3 linked regions of the Schizosaccharomyces pombe genome follow. The protein of the gene in region 3 purifies or fractionates together with the protein of the main gene of each other region. This does not show direct contact. Each region holds a gene or a part of one and is shown on either strand. Other genes may lie near its edges.

Region 1 (6,023 bases), on a different chromosome or scaffold from region 3:
TCCTTGACGCCCCATGTTCGGGTACTGGTGTTATATATAAAGATCAGTCTGTTAAAACTAACAAATCTGAAAGGGATTTTGATACTCTTAGCCATTTACAAAGGCAATTGCTTCTAAGCGCTATTGATTCTGTCAATGCTGACAGCAAAACCGGTGGTTTTATCGTGTATTCTACTTGCAGTATTACTGTTGACGAAGATGAAGCAGTTATTCAATATGCTTTAAAGAAGCGCCCTAATGTTAAGCTAGTGTCCACTGGACTTGAATTTGGACGTGAAGGGTTTACCCGTTTTCGTGAAAAAAGATTTCATCCAAGTCTAAAGTTAACTAGACGTTATTATCCTCATGTTCACAATATAGACGGTTTTTTCGTTGCCAAACTGAAAAAGATTTCTGATAAAATCCCTACTGTAAATGTGGCTGATGATATGAAGGATGGAACAAATAATGATGTTGAAATTGAAAAGAATTCTACTGAAATTGATAATATTACTTTCAATGATGAAGCCGATAAGGAGATTATCGAGCAGAATCGTCGCAAATGGTTGAAGTCTAAAGGTTATAAGGTTGCAAAAAAAAAGGATTAGAATAATTTTGGTTAGGTTGGGATTACACAATAAAAGGTAACTGAACATTGATTCGCGTGTTACTACAACAATTATATTAATAGGTTGTCGTAAAGAGCCGGTCTTTATATTTTTGTATCAATCCATCTGGTTGTCAAATCTCAATTCAGTGGAATATTTTATTATAAAGTATTCTGGAATTTTTAGAATAAACTACATATAAATAATAAGAAAGTGAAGTAAATTTGTGAGTTTACCGGTGTCTCTTTTTAGATGGTCTTTCTTCAAAAGCATCGTGCTTAGCATCTTCTTGACGTGCTTTACGCTCCAATTCATCCCAATCTTCACCACTTTCTTCATCCTCCACTTCGCTTTCACTGTAACCATCCTCTTCACTAGCATCTTCGCTGTACTCCTCAGATTCTTCTTCCTCTTCATCAGAAGGGTCGGCATCAGAAGCTTCATACTCAGAAACCTCTTCGACACTATCATCTCCTTCATCATCACTCGGAGCTCCCAAAAATCCCCATCCTCCTTCTTCAAAGAATGCAATGGGGTCCTCGTTGACAGTTTTCATAATCGTGGTCCAGTTCAAATTAAGAGGACCTTCATAGAAGCATATATCGCATGAATCGAGCCATTCCTTTACATTATCTAATTGCTCCATTGGAATTGTATTGATATGAATCGGAGGGCGGCGGAAGTCTTGAAAGATGAAAACCAAATCAAAATTTTTTAAACCAAATTGTACACGCTCCAAGTGTGCAATTTCAATTTCGTTTAGTGTAATTACAGTAAATGGTGTGTCTGTCAATTGAACTAGGCAATCAGTAGTCGGCTGCAATAAAACATTGGAACGGAAGGGAACACCATTGAATGCAAGTTCGCGAAATGGAATGTCTAATTCAATTCGTCCCTCACTTGCTTCAGCGATTTTTTCAGCAAATGATTTAAATTCGCGATCTAATTGAGCACGACGCCGTCTTTCTTCTTGTTCTTGCTCCAATTCATCTTCATCACCATACATGTATTTCCGCTTCTTGTTTCCAGTTTCGTCAAACTGAATATCAGAAACTTCGCGATAAAATTGCACGTCCTGGGTCTTCCTTTTTCCCACCATGATCGGAGCTTTCAGATGAACATGAATAAGAACGATAAGCTCGCCTTCACATGGCTGGAAAAAGAGATGCTTCATATTAGAAAACAAAAGATCAATGTGGCTATCTGAACGTAATGGCGATTGATACCGAATACCATTTTGGTGTATCTCAATGAATCCAGGCAACCGTTTCCCGTCAATAGCAGGGCGAACGTAAACATCATTTATATGAGCAGGTCTCTTGTTCTTTATTTCAATTAATTTATCTTGCTCAATAACATCAGCAAACTCCTTACGTTCAGTTTCACGCTTGGTAGCTGCTTTCTTCATATCTTGGATGTCCTTGAATACTTGCGACATTCTAGAATTATTTGAACTTCTGAAAGTAAAGCTTCGTATGAATTGGGCATTAGGGTCCTCAAACGGTAACTCATCCTTTTTACCGCCAATCTGGCCAGGACTTACGAAATTTAGTCGTAAATACACAAAATTTCCCTCATCGTTTTTACTAGCATTTTTTAAAGTAGATATATGGAACGGGACAGGCCGACCGAAAATGGGTAAAATAATACTTTGAGCTCGATAATCTACTAGAATACGTAACTCACCAATTGCTTGTGGAAGTTGCGAGTCACGCTTGTACGACTCAAATCGTTTGACAGTGGGTTTTTCGATGCCGCTAGACGGAACAGAACCTTGAGCAAATCGTTGCAATCCCTCAGCCTGTTTTCGCGATGCTAGTTGCTTTTGATGCTCAACACGCCTCTTTTCAGCAGAATCATCCAAGTCTCTGGTTTCACTTCGAGTCTTTCCTTTATGACTTGATATAGTTGCCGTTCCCCGAGTAGGTGGTTTGCGTGGCTTTACGCCGTCTTCAAGAGAAGAATCATCTTCACCAAAGAAGTAGGATATATCACCTTGAGCTTTTGGAGAATCAGTAAATACGATTGGATCACTTCTTGTTATTTGAATTGTGTCAATCAATAAAAGAGCATACTCTTTAGACTGAGAATTTTTAGGATGAGGATTAATCAAATTCCCAAATCCAATGCTAAGATTTAGAGTCATCCCGGCTTGAAGAACGCGTGGGTTTTTGGCATTTACTAAAAGTGAAGATTCGCGAAATTCAATGCCAATGCCGGCACCTAGATTTCTTACAAAATTAGGTTCGAGATCAGGACGTTTAGCACGTATAAGACCCAAAATTTTCGTATATATGTCCCCAATAACAGCGCCATCTCTGCAGTATTCGAACAACTTTTTCTGAAGCGCTACTAAAAAAGAGTAATTTTTCTGTTGTTCGGAATCAGGATCAAATAAATAAGTGCGACCAACATTAGAACAATACGATTTGTAGCGAAACCCTAAAGAGCATAGGACGACGTCCCCATGAAGATTTCTATCATCTGTTATAGCAGAAGGCTTCAAATCATAACTACCCCCCGATTGAATAATGGGAGTATAACACCACTCTAGTTGATCCAAGTCTATGTCTCCTAGTTTCAAAGATTTTGTTTGAAAAAAAGCCTCGTTATCAATAAGGCTTTCCATCTGATCCGAAAACTTAGAGTGAGTTATTTTTTTTCCTTGGTCAATATAAGTCGAAAGTTCATCAACAAAATATTTACTCATAACCGCAACACTAACCCGCGATGCTCCTTTTATATTAGCAAGTTCTTGTTCGTCCTTTATAGCAAGACACTTTGCTAAGCCAAGCGATGCATCCACAAGATTAAATTCTGATTTCACTGGTTCAAAAATTGAGTCCCATTCATTAATGAATTTTCCTTGTGTTTTATCCTTAGGAAATACTCCGACCTTTTTATTGGTGGCTCTAATATACTCTATTATTTTTTCAAAAAGCTTTTTATTTTCCTCAGCATCTTTCGTTCTCTTCAAGATGTTAACGTCAGCTGCAGCCCCCTTGGTTTCAGCCAATTTCGTTAACATATTGGCCTTGTTAACTGATGTAAGGATTGTGATTCGATGCTTTTCAAGAAGTATTAAAGTCGATGGAAATTCATAACCCAAGAGCCATGTATGTAGTGCAGTGGACTTTTGATATGGATTCGTATCATCATGAGCCCCTACTGTTACTAAAATACTGTCGCAGTCTTGAAACAGCGTCTTTCCGTCTTCCTCATTCTTCCAGGAGGTAAGAAGTATGCCCAAGCGTTTATGAAATGTAATTTCGTCTATTTCATATTCAGCCATTTTACCTTTAATTAACGATTTAAGATATATTCACTCTTTAGCGAATAGTTATTTTATCTGAAAGGGCAAAAAGGCTTTTTCTTACAAAATTTCTTAAAATTTTGTAAAAAAGAAACAGGAATTGTTTTATTTTTTTTTTATTGATTGATAGCTTTTTTTGATATCTTGTGGATGGAGGTGGGTAAGTGGTAGTACTTTTGAATGTAGATATATAGGGCTGGGATTTCTGCGACGCGACTCGACTTACGCTGCATGTGTTCTAGCTTGATTATTTGAGCTTGTTAATGTTTATAATAGACCACAAGCATCATAAAAAAATAAAATTTATTTATTTATTTTTTGGTTCTTCAAGAGCAGGATGAATATCACGCTTTGCTGTATATAATCGTAAACGGTTGGACAAGCTTTATAATTTTTGGAGCACGAATACTATACATACATGTCTGAATACGTCTACGTACATATATGAGCTGTAGTAATTTAAAAAATCATTTACCTACGTCAAGCAATCCAAAGACAATAGATATTACTTAATGCTTTAGTTATTGAAAAGTGGCACAAATTCTGGAGCACTCAGCTTTAAACGGATTAAATTGATTTGCTTGGTAAAATGAACTGAGTAGAACAAATTATAAAACTACAACGCAAAACTAGTAAGCCATTTATAAAGATCATTTTTACCCGGTATACCTTTGCTTTAGATGAAACTAATTTTGAAATGCACCATTAAAAATAAGGTATATTAAGTGGTTTGTAACCCTTTTACGCGACTAACCAGTTAAATACCAATTTTATCTTAAAAGTATATACGGTATTATCCCCATGAAATTTTTAAAATGTTTTGTATAGCTGACGAACATCGTATTGAAGTGTTTTTGGCTTAAAGACAAAATTTAGTTTACTAAATCTTCAACCGTTACTGGTGGTAGTTTTAATTATACATGGCTAAATGGATCAGCAACTTTATTGTTAATTTAAATAATCCATAAGGAGCGATATCTTAAGCTTCGGAACAAATAATAGCAAGAAATACGTTTCATATCTGGTTATCATGATATTTTTGTCTTTCCAACCAGTGAAGTCAATAAAAATATAAGTTCTTGGGTCAACACGGAGTAACAAAATATACAAATATCTTAAATATAACTTTGTTGTAAGCCTTATTGGTGATATAGGGTATGGCTTAAAATTCAAAAAACGAATTTACAATTTATTAGAATTTGTTCAATATTTTTTATGAAACTTACCACGAAATACTGGATATAGTAATAATATATAGTAAATGCAAAATATGCGCTGCTATTAAAATCAATTTCTAGTGCTGATCCAGGTAATGCCACATTTCATGAAGAAAACAAAAAAACGAATATCCAGATCCTTATATCATGGATCTCATCCATTTTATGTAGGCAGAAAAACGAACTACTACTACGAAAAATGGGGTTCGGTTATATGAGTCCGTGAAAAAACGGCGCTTACATACACACGAACACTCATGCATATATAAAGAGTATGTTTACAAAACAAATAAAACGTTTTTTGTATCACAAAACCTCAAATTGGGTCTACTTGAGTTAATATCGTCTTTTTTGCGGTATATTTGTTCTCAATCCCTTTTCTTTCTGAGAATCCTTTGCATACCAAATTCGCTATTTGCTGAGGAAAATTTAACACATAAATTCTGCTTTATAACTATATTTAGGACCATTTATTTTACAAAATTTCCAGTCAATATCTATCATGCCGTATAACCCTCTTTATGAATCGCTTTCCAATCAGTTTGATCCTTCGCGGATAGAAACAGTATTGGATCCAATGGGCTATACCATCAAGCGTCGGGCTCTTCCAGTTAGTCTAACCATTGCCGGTTCTGATTGCAGTGGTGGTGCCGGAATTCAAGCTGATTTGAAGACCATGACCAGTTTAGGTGTATATGGTATGAGTGCTATTACTTGTTTAGTTGCTGAGAACGCTGGTGGAGTAGACTCTGTTGAGGAAATGTCTCCTGCCTTCGTAGAATCTCAAATCGATTGTTGCATTCGAGACATACCTTGTCATGTCGTGAAAACAGGTATGCTTGGCAGCCCTGAAATCGTTAAGGCAGTTGCACGTTCTGCCAAGAAATTCAACTTTTCGAAGCTGGT
Region 2 (6,971 bases), 2.7 Mb from region 3:
TTGAAAGTTCTGATTCGTCTGCCAAATCGCTATCATCTGCACTTTCAGAATCTAAATTATCTGATTTGCTATGGCTTGTAGCAGAGTTTTGGATCAGATCTTCCTGTTCCTTCTTCAAGGCATTTCGTTTCTTTTCAATTAATTGTTGTAAACGTGAATTTCTATCAGAATCCTTATTTTCAGAGGATGGACTTCCCTTCGCATTATCACCTCCCTCTTGAGTTTCAATTTGTTCAACCTCCTTTTTTTGGAGAGAAGACTTACCACCTTGTTGATTTAATAATCGCCTAACACGTTCATAAGCAGAGTCAAAATTAGATAAAAAATTCGTATCAGAATGAAGATAGATTTCGCTGCTATACGAGCGATTTTTCTGATTCTCTAAATTGCCAACGGTACTCTCTTTATCCAAAGATGCTTCAGATACAGCATTGCTAGACAATTGCATATCAACACTCGCCAACATTTTCCTCACCCTAGTGCGAGGCGTATCTAAAATATCCTCTTGATCATCATTGATGGAAGCCTCATCAGAAGAATCCATTCTGTGCAACTCATCAGCGTTCTCGTCTAAAGATGCCATAGATTTAAGCACCACAAAGCTCTTATTGAACGAGTAATGGTAGTTGCTTTGCCGCGATACATCTCTTAGTCCTCCTTAGAATTCATCAACAAACGCGACGCGTCTTGACGCGTCGCGACTTTCCAAGCTGCGCTCTATTAACAAGAAAACTACAACATATATACATAAAAATACAGGGTATTAAGAGAATTTATTGTAAAAAAAAAAACATATAGATATCAACTGTATAAAAAGGGATATTTCAATATTAATGTGCCAAAAATTCGGTGAAAATGAAATAAACCAAGGGTGGTTTTCTTTAATTATGTAAAACAAATGTCACGTAGTTGCAGATAAGAGTAAAGCGTTTAAACCATCAATGCTCACATCCGTCTAAAATTTTTAGTTCGAGCAGCATACAGCAATTTGAAACCATTGCAAAGTGCAGTCATATCACCATAAACGTTGCCCTGTAAAAAAAACGCATTTGGAATAACCTTCACCGGCCATGCCGTTACAGGACTATTAACACTAGCTTTGAAACATAAGATAAAGTATCCAGGATGTTGATGATCAAAGCAAAATGCATAACAGGATCGTTTAGGATTTGCCTCAGAATAACTCTCAAGCCATTTTTCGGTTTCCGCTTGTGTACCCTTTCGAAATTTATCATGTATACACATTTCATCTATTTTTTTAGCAATGGCTTTAATATGTAAAACAATCAGCTCATCGAGATCACTGTATTGATAAGTCATTTTTTCAAATCTTCCCTTTACTAGTAATTTCTGACCAATTGTAAACTCATTTTCTTTTTCCAATTCTAACACATCGATATGTTGGTAGGAGCCTTCAGCGACTTTCCATGTAACGACAATATGGTCAGAGCCCTTAGAAGATGGACGTATAACTAGATCGCCAACTTGCATTTTCGACAGATATGCTTCGGCTTGAGAGGCATTTAAATCCTTAAATAACGGGTGCTTAATTACGCGAGCAACTCGTTGTTCAGCCTGTGTTTCGGCCTGCATCCTCTCAGTATCCCGCTTTTCAGCCTCAGTATCCCAATAAGATGTACGATGAGAGCTAGTTTGTCTTTTAGAATTTGCCGATTGTAAAACACTATTTCTAAGTGAAAGATCAACCATAAAATTAGCCTCGTCCAAAGAAATAATTACACCTTCGACTGTTTGACCAACCTGAAGCAATTGGGGAGGGGGTATAAAATCGTCACTCACTTCATCGGCTTTAATATTTCCATCAATTCCACAATCGAGTTTGACGGCAACGAACCTATTAGTAACTCGCCTAACATTCACGGGTACAATTGCATCTGCTTGCAACTCTTCTGGATTTTCTCCGGTTAACATTAGGAAAATTTCCGAAGGTGTCAGCTTATGGAATACATTCCTTTGCTCTCCATAAGGATCCTTCAACTCCAGACGGATCTTTTCAAGAGTGTTTCGCTTCTTCTGGTGAAATTCACGTTCCAGTTGATCAGCATACTCTTCAAGAACAAGCTCATCAAGTTTTCCTGTTTCGTTTTCCTCTAAAAGGTGGTAAACCACCCCTCGATTGGTTTCAAGCTCTTCAATATCTTCCTCGTCAAGTTCTAGTGCATCACTTGCCATTTTTCTAGCTAACTCGTAGTCTTCATTATGTATCCTTGTAGAATCTAAAATATCCATATTGGGATACTCATCATTAGGAATAATGAAGAAAGAAGAGCAATTAATGAAAACTTTTCTCGACATTATTTGTTTTGAAATTAAATCACTACGATTATCAATACGTCCACCGGTAGCAGCGATTTTCTTTAAAACATAATCTGCTTTGCGAGGACCTAATCCCGCTATGTAGGGAAGTATATTAGCTTCATATTTGTTAGTCACTGCTTCGTTAATGTCAATACCCACCAAAGAAGATATATCGACTAACGCAGTTTCCAAGTATTTCCAGAGAACATCAGGGGGAAGCAAATGTTGCCAAGGATCAAATGATAAAGACATCAAATCACGACCCATAGCAGCGTACTCAAACAGAGGGTTTTGTACATACCGAGCCAATGCAACACAGTAGCAAGAAATAGTTGGTAGAGTAGGAAATTCATCAACAGCACGAGTAGAATTCTGATATAGACGAGCGACCTCATCATTCACCATGATTAGATCTACTGGTTCGTGAGACGTTAACGAATCTTGAACGTGTTGACGAATTTTATGAGCAGAAACGCTCATTCCCGAAACACCTATAACATCTGGCTTAACTTTTTCGACAAATTCAGCAAACATTGCTTGATTAGCAAGATCTCGTAGATCGGCAAGTTTTAATGAATCAGTAGGCTCACCCACATCATCAACAAATACGCAGATAATGGCATCAGACGATTCACCTTTTCCATTGGAGACGGCAAGGACTGATGGAATAGTGCCACGATCGAAATTTTTAGTTGAGGGCTCATAGGGAGCTTGATCAAGTCTTGAAAACAATTGATTTCGGCAGCGCATTCCAAGTTCGTCCAGGTATCGAGAACGTAAAGTTTCACGTATGGCATCGGGTGCTAATGCAGAAAACCTTTTAAATACTTCTTTTAATACCAATTCTCTCTGAGCATTCCATTGCATTGCGTTCTCAGAAAAATTATCTGAAACAAAAAGCTCGAGTAAACCTTTAAAAACATCATCAGGATCTTCAAATTCAATCGATAGTTGAATTAAGCCCTCTTCTTCGGCCTTTAACATTTTTAAAAATAGGATTGGCTCTAACTCAAACGAGCCCAAGGGTTTCCGTTTTAAATACTTAAATTCATAATAAGGATGCTCACTACCTATTTTACGGACACCTTTTTGAGTGGCCAAAACAGTAACGACTCCAGCATTGTACAATTTGTCACGGAAAGACTTTCGAAATTGAGGATCATGAATAATTTCCTCTGCTAAAACTCTACGTGCCTTTTGAAGTACCTGCTCAGGTGATGACAGCTCATTTGTCACATAAGTACGACTTAGTTCTTCAGGCGAAAGGGTGTTGTCTTCCACAAAACGGAGACGAGCACCCTGTGCTACGTTGAACGAAAAGTCTTTAGCACTCATACCAAATTCTTTGACGAGATTGTAAAGTGATGATTTTCTAAATTTTTCAAAAAAAGAATACTTCGAACCTTGTGGACGACGAAGACCAGTACCCATCAGTAAGGCACGATCACGGATTTGTTCAGAATAAGTGAAATGTATGTAATCATTAAGGTCATCAATTGCATCAAGAGAGGAAGCAGCTTCACAGAAGGGAACTACTAAATCATCATTAATTCCCAAATCAGAGTACAATTTTAGGATATCTTGCTTCTTAGAATGAAGTGACCAAAACTTGGTGCAAAGGAAAAAAATATTCCACAAATCATTTTGACTTAATAAAGGAGTAATTGTGTTCCTCTCACGATTGTTATGCACTATATAATCACGACGGTGCTGCCATATGAAGGGTACTTCAAGACTATCACGAATAAAGAAGTGAACTACATAGCGAACAGCAGTTTGAAACGGCTCATATAGTTCAGCATCAATATCACGCCTATTTTTTAAGAGATAATCGATAATCCAAGCAACTTGTTCCCTAAATTCATCTTCAGAGCAATCAATGTTCCTCTTCATATAAAGTTGCATACGTTCAGGTTCATCCGTGATTCTTATGATCTCATCCTCCTCGGTAAGCATTTTATCTTTTAGTTCACTGGGCTCAAAAATGGTCTTCAAACTGACAGACTCTTCTAACTCGTCTTCAGCATCTTCATCTTCAAGGGCAAATGCGTAATCTGTTCCATCGCCAAAGACTTCGTATATTTGTATATAATCATCATCCGATATTCCTAAAGCCTCAGGTCGTACTGATTCTATGGGCGGACCAGTCTCATATTTTTCTTCTTGACGCTCTTCGTCTTCAAATTCGTCTTGTTCAATGAAATCTGCAAATTCGTCGATAACGCCAGCGCGGTGGCCTTGCGTGCGATTAGGAGCTTCATCATCGACTTCGTTTTCTTCTTCTTCTTCTTCCTCAGAAAATATGTTTTCAAGAGTCTCTTCTTGATCTCTTCCACGTTTTAAACGTCTCAACTTAGAAAAACGAGAGCCTTGGCCTGTATTCTCCATGACAAGTTCCAGATCTTCCTCATCAAGCATATCTTGATCAGCAGTACTTTCGGCATGCTTCTTACGTTTCTTTTTGCGCCGAATTTCCTGAGGAACTTCGTCTTCTTCATCTTCGACGATGAAACCCTCTCTAACTTGTCGCTCAGCTTCTTCATCAGTTGCAGATTCTTCAGAAGAGTCATTCTCATCATTGTCATTATCTAAAGGAATTCCATCCTTTTCCTCTTCATTGTTGTTGTCATCCACATTTGTGCCTTCTCCATTTTCAGCTGGATAACCATCCTCATTTTTATCACCATTGGTGGTTGGTGACCCGACAACTTCGTTTTCACTCATTCCTATTTCTATAGTGGACGAAGGAACGGCTTCTCGAAGGTTTGCGGTCAATTGTGGCAGAGAAATACAATACTTGAAGATGCGCTTGCTTTAGATGGTGATATTTTAATAAAAGTTAATGCAGCATCATAAAACATTTAAGGAGCACATTAAAATTCACTAGTATGTTATAAGACAACGCAACGTGCTTTGTAGTTCTAACAAATATTCAATCGTACATATAAGCATAAAAATAAAGTGCTTTGCAAGAGCTAATATGCAATGCTGCTAATCTGAATTGTTGTTACAAAATACCACAGTCCTTGATATACAAGACAGACGTTGTTGTTACGATCACGACCATTCGTTGCAATGATTAGTTTTGGCTTTATTTATAGCCGATATCAAACTCCCTTTGAATAACTTACACGGGTATTTACAATAAAAATTATGAAATCCATTATTTCAAACACGTAAACCTTTTGAGCGAAAACAACCCTATTTACCAATATTAAAAGGATGAAAGGAAAAAAAAATTCCCTTCAACCATTCAAAATCCAAGTCATTTGTAAAAGCCAGAAAAACCGAATTAAATAAACCTTTTAAATGAAATCAACTTCTAATATGAACGAAGTTTAGCGGCTCCATCCACGCTCTTTGTCTTGAGAAATAGCTGATGATCTTTGTTTTGAATAAACATCAACGTGATTCTTCTTATTATAACCCGCACGTCGTTCTTTTTTGTCTGTTCGTCCACTAGCACCAATAGTGATATTGACGTTTGGAGGATGAGCAAAACCGAATGATTTAGCAACTTTTGCGAGATCCAATTTATTAATATCAAAGATAGATTTTAAAGAATATGAGGCATAGGCCTGCAAGTAGGAACGGTATCCATCCTTTGCAGACTGCTGCAAATAATAATTTTTGGAAACAAGCTTTTCGAGCTGAGATTGAACATTAGCAACTTTATTGGCAGGAAATTCAAACTCATTCAAAGAAACCTTGGCAGTTTTCAAATAACGAAGGAAACCGAGCTCAGAAGGAGCGAGGAACATAAGGGATTTACCAGTTCCCTTTGTTCCTCTAGCTGTACGACCTACACGATGAATATAATCTCGGGGGTCATCAGGAGGATCGTACTGCACGATCCAGTCAACGGCTGGAATATCTAACCCGCGTGCAGCAACATTGGTGCAAAGTAGTATTCCCTTTTCGGCATTGCAGAATTCAAAAAAGGTGTTTGTACGACGCTGTTGCTTTTGCTTGCCATGAAGATCAAGTACTGGTAAATCTATATAGTTCAGTAATTCTGCCATATATTTGACAGAAGCACAAGATGACATGAAAACAATAACTTTTTTCTTCAAATTGCGTTTTAAGAAGGAAAATAAAAGAAGAAACCGTTTGTCAGAATCAACTACAACATAACCTTGCTCCAATCCTTCAACGGTAGAGGTAGGCTTACCAGAATCAACGTTAACATACAAGGGTCCGGGCTTAAGAGAGATACGAGCAAGATCTTCAACTTTAGTTGTCTGTGTAGCAGAAAACAGGAGGGTTTGTCGATTTTCCGAGGGAAGGATTTTCATGATTTGTCTCATTTCGTCCTCAAAACCAATCTCCAAAATTCTGTCGGCTTCGTCAATCACTAAGGATCGTAAATTGCGGAATACAAATCCTTTGGTATTTTGCAAGTGATCCAGTAAACGACCAGGAGTAGCAACTAATAGGTTAACACCTTTCACCAATTTATCAGCTTCAGCACGGCGATTAGCACCGCCAATGACGATACCAAATGTTTGGTGATGGTATTTCAACAACTCCTTTGCGACACCAAAAATTTGAAGAGCCAATTCACGAGTAGGAGATATAATAATAACACCAGTACCATTACGAGGCTTAAATTTCAATGCATAAAGCATTTCAATGGTAGGAATTAGAAAAGC
Region 3 (4,360 bases):
GACGTCCACGGCGCTCGGCGTTGACGATATTGTTTAAACAATCAGCGAGAACAGATTGACGAACCATTTTGTGTTTCTGACGAGAAGCGCGTTAGTTTTCTTGAGTGTCTTGTTTAAAGATTTCAAGAAAAAAAGGTTCCACCCATTGGGTTCAAGTATTCACTGAAGAATAAATGTACCAATAGACTTCCGCTCACATCTTGTAATATTTAATATTTCATACCTGTTTTGGACTACTTTTACTTTATAAACTGTAGGTGGTAAAAACAGTTTGCAATTTCGCGAAATGCTTGTTTTGTATCTACAGGAGCAGTCACATAAAAACCCTACCCTATTTAACTCAGTACTGATTTGATTGACTTTGGGTAGTTTCAAAATAATAGAAACTTTAGAAATGTAACCTGAAGGGCATATACGGTTAAAAATAAAGTGTTTCTCTTAAACTGTACGGAATTCCAATGTTTTAATATACCAAGGGGAAATTACTTTATATAGAATATTAGACGTTTAGTATTGAATTGCCATACTTTACAAAATTTGTATTTCCTCAAACACAATAAGCATAAGTAGGAGACATAAAATCATGGTATTAAATTACTGTAATATTAAGAGATTTTCGACGCAAATAAAAAAATTCCCTATTATAAATTATTGTTTTTATCATTTTGAAAATACAAAGACCTTGCTCGGTCTTTCACTCTGTCAACCGGAGTCATGTTGATCTGTATTTTACTCCCCTTGTTGCCAAGTCCAACACCGGGCAAATACATCGTCGGTTGAATAGCTTCCTTGATCCCATTTTCGTTAGTACCAAGACCACTTCCTTTGTTCCATCCCATAGAATTAAGCATTTTCATGCTAACATTAGAGGTGGAGTGAAAGCTTGAGCCCTGAGATGACTTTTTAGCCTCAACTATTGTATCACTAGAAGCAGCAGGTACTATTCGACGTTCAGTAGCGCGATCTCTGTAATCAACAGACTCAGTTTGACGAACTCGGTGCATCAAAAGCTCTGCAGAAGAGACAAGTTCGTGGTTTTTCAGATTATTGTTGTGCATAATAGACTGAGTAATATGTTTTACTACATGGCCCCAACTCTGAAACTTTCGCTCACACAAAACGCATATTAAAGCCGATTTCCACACAAAGTGTAAAAGCAACTTTTCTTCTTCTTCAGAGAGATCAGGGATATTGTCTTTTAATTCCTTCTGCGCATCATTCCATCTTTGCAATGAAGTGGCAACCTATACATATCAGCAGGTTTATGCTAACATTAAGACACATACCTTCTTAGAAGCAGGTACATCTATGTAATTGGATGATCGTGCACGCTTTTCTTTTTTTGGTTTCTTATTTACTTCAATTGGTTTAAACTGATCTGTATCAATGCCTTCAGGAACATAGATCGAGCAATATAGTTCTGGGTCCCAATAAACGAGATAACCAGTTTTTGTAGGAAATTGCCATCTTGCAGATTCCGTATATGCAGGAATTAAAACTCCATCATGAATGTAATCAACAGACACTTTCCTAGAAGCTAACGTGAAGCCCTTTCCCGGGTACGTGCGGGCTTTCATAAGTGCTTTCGCTGACTCATCTACATCTTTAAATTCTAGTATGGCATAACCACAAAACGCATCATTAAACTTATATCGAATCATGAAAACCCTTTGGACGTCAATTTCTAATTTGGAAAGTCCCTTCCATAACGTTTCTTCAGAAAGTGAACGGTCAAGGTTTCGTAATATAAGGTATACTGAGGGTACATCACTTACATCCATGTCGCCATTCCGTTTACTGATTTTATGATTTCCAATAGCAATCGAAGCCTGATTCCTTGGCACACGACATTTGAAGCAAGACTCTCTATATGAATAATTTAGAATATCACACTACTCCAACAGTTAGTAAGTAAAAAAAAATTATATGTGAAAAAACAATATTAATTGTTAAAATTGTTTACATTTTGGCAACACCAACCCTCAATCTGCTCTCTGGCCGCACGTGAAAAACGTACAGACACATCAATACCGTCGATGACCAGCGTTGGAAAATTGGCTTCCATCCAATCCTTAGAATCCTGTAAGGAAACAAATTTAGCGAAGGCAAAACAGCGAGATTTTTGTGTTTCTTTCTCTCTTATTAGTGTAACAGTAGAAACTTTAGCACCCGTGGCGTACAACGCAAGTTCAATCTTCACGCATTTTTGTTAGTATTTCCTTCAATAAAAATTAAGTCTGAATCACACATGTTCTTCTAATATTTCCGGAGTCAACCCTTGAAGAATGATTTCTTGATTAGGAACACCGATGTGTCTAGAAAGGGGTGAGTTCCTGTCCCTTCCATAATTTCCTTTCGGACGATATGAATCGAGTAAACGAGGGTTGTCACTACTAATATTTACATCGTAATCTCTAGATGCACAATTGTCCGATATATTACTGCTGGTCGAACCTTTCTCTTCAAAAATTTCTTCAAAACCATTTTCTGAATAATAATCCTTCATCATGTCCACAACGAGTTTTAATTATTTAAAATGGTCTGTCTTATAACTAAACGAAAACTATTCCAACCATCTCAAACATAATTTGTTTGTATTAGGTGAATGTGTCGTCGTATACTTATAAAATTATCACCACCAACATTTCCTTGCAGCAACATCATATCATTCTCTCAATATAAATCACGAAGTGGAAGTTGAATAAAATTATTGAAGTATAGTACATGAAATTTACTTTCAGTAAGTCAATTTAAACTGTCAGTTTTTGAAAAATATTGCTACGTCACATGAATGAAAAAATCAAACATTTTATATGCATAAATGGCCGTGTAATTTAATTTTAATTTAATACAGTCTACCAGCTATTCTAGCTTTCCTTTCCTAAACCCTCTTCTCAACAGATCAGACATAGAAAAAAAACTATGACATAGATAAATTTTTATGATTTTTTATAGCCAAGCCAAAATTATGCAGTAGATCCACGAACGTTAGTTCCCTTGCCATCCTTAGGACGTGCACTTGCCGTTAATTTCCCTTCAGCATCTATTTGAAGAACCAGCTCGATCTTGGCATTAGGAGAAACATCAGGAAGAGTAATGGTGGCAATCAAAGTCTTGGGTATAGCGATACGCTCTTTAATCTCCTCTGGCTCCTCTTCTTCATCATCAGAAAATGCCTCTTCCTCATCAATAGGCTCCGGTTCAACTTTGGTAACCTTTACTGAACGCTCAGCTTCATAAATTGGAATAAAGGCAGCACCCTCTTTAGGAGCAATCACCTCAACAGTCTTTCGAGCAGGCAAAGCAGTCTCGATGTCGAAAATAGTAACAAAGTTCTCACCTTCGTTGATACCGATAGGAGCAGTAAGGTGAGGAACATCAACCACTTGTGCATCAGTAGAAGCAGCAATGTCAGCAGCATCAAAGTGCCCAATCAAAGAAGCTTGAACACCGGAACCGATCGCGGTAAGTTCAGAAGGGTCTAATTGCAAAGGAGTAACTGAACTAGAGGAACGGATGATAGTTTGTTCAGGGAAAATGGATTCCATCAAGGAAGTTAATTTGGGAGTATTGGAGGCACCACCAGCTAAAATAACCTCAGAAATATCAAAAGGCTCCATGTTTGCCTTTTCAACAGCTTCGGTTACAAGATCGGCCATGCGATTTAAAGTGGCGCTTGCTGCAAGGTCATAACGAAGGCGGTTAATGCTACTATGGAAGTCGATGCCGTCGGCCAAAGAGTCTACAGCAGCAGAAGCGGTAGTACCATTGCTAAGTACACGCTTAGTGATCTCACATTGAGCACGGAGCTTAGCAAGGGAACGGGCATTTTTGCGAGGATCAATTCCATTCTTCTTTTCAAACTCCTTGGCAAAGAAATTAACCAACACATCAGTTAATTGCTCACCTCCCAAATTCTCATCATGAACTGAAGCCAAAATGGTCATTAGACCACCCTTAACAGATACAACAGAGACCTCAGAGCGAGTGGCACCAAAGTTAGCGACCACAACAGTTTTGTCGATCAGAACCTCTTCGGAATACATTAAGGCCAAAATAACAGCAGCCGGGTCATGAATCAACTGCAAAACTGGAAGTCCAGCTTCATTGGCAGCAGATTCCAGAGCCTTACGTTGAGCGTCAGTAAAATAGACAGGAACAGACATAACACATCCGTTGACCTTTGTACCCAAAAAGTCCTCAGCAGACTCAGTAAGACGGCGTAAGTGACGGACACTAGCCTCATGAGCAGTCAAAATCTTTTCTTTAGGATCAGATTCTTCGTCCTCTTGAACAGTGATCTTGAAACCAATTTGACCCTCCACATTCACGGGATTGGCAGAATAATGACAGTGATGAA

What was found. The genes of interacting proteins can lie anywhere in the genome.
Region 1: the proteins of rbm10 (region 3) and spt16 purify together in Schizosaccharomyces pombe (affinity purification with mass spectrometry, with the first as the bait; one study listed by BioGRID). This does not show direct contact.
Region 2: the proteins of rbm10 (region 3) and spt6 purify together in Schizosaccharomyces pombe (affinity purification with mass spectrometry, with the first as the bait; one study listed by BioGRID). This does not show direct contact.

What each region holds. Positions count from the first base shown.
Region 1 is NC_003423.3:3,669,315-3,675,337, reverse strand, and holds spt16 (histone H2A-H2B chaperone, FACT complex subunit Spt16), read right to left. Parts: upstream 4,059-6,023; 5' UTR 3,880-4,058; coding exon 820-3,879; 3' UTR 716-819; downstream 1-715. Other genes in the region: RNA methyltransferase Nop2, read left to right, coding at 1-587; phosphomethylpyrimidine kinase Thi201, read left to right, coding at 5,620-6,023.
Region 2 is NC_003424.3:4,211,761-4,218,731, forward strand, and holds spt6 (transcription elongation factor Spt6), read right to left. Parts: upstream 5,102-6,971; 5' UTR 5,044-5,101; coding exon 946-5,043; 3' UTR 716-945; downstream 1-715. Other genes in the region: mrc1 (claspin), read right to left, coding at 1-583; ATP-dependent RNA helicase Has1, read right to left, coding at 5,658-6,971. UniProt on the Schizosaccharomyces pombe protein: Histone H3-H4 chaperone that plays a role in maintenance of chromatin structure during RNA polymerase II transcription elongation thereby repressing transcription initiation from cryptic promoters.
Region 3 is NC_003424.3:1,512,123-1,516,482, forward strand, and holds rbm10 (RNA-binding protein), read right to left. Parts: upstream 2,613-4,360; 5' UTR 2,507-2,612; coding exon 2,249-2,506; intron 2,195-2,248; coding exon 1,964-2,194; intron 1,893-1,963; coding exon 1,287-1,892; intron 1,245-1,286; coding exon 642-1,244; 3' UTR 561-641; downstream 1-560. Other genes in the region: rps2202 (40S ribosomal protein uS8), read right to left, coding at 1-67; ssz1 (putative heat shock protein Pdr13), read right to left, coding at 2,967-4,360.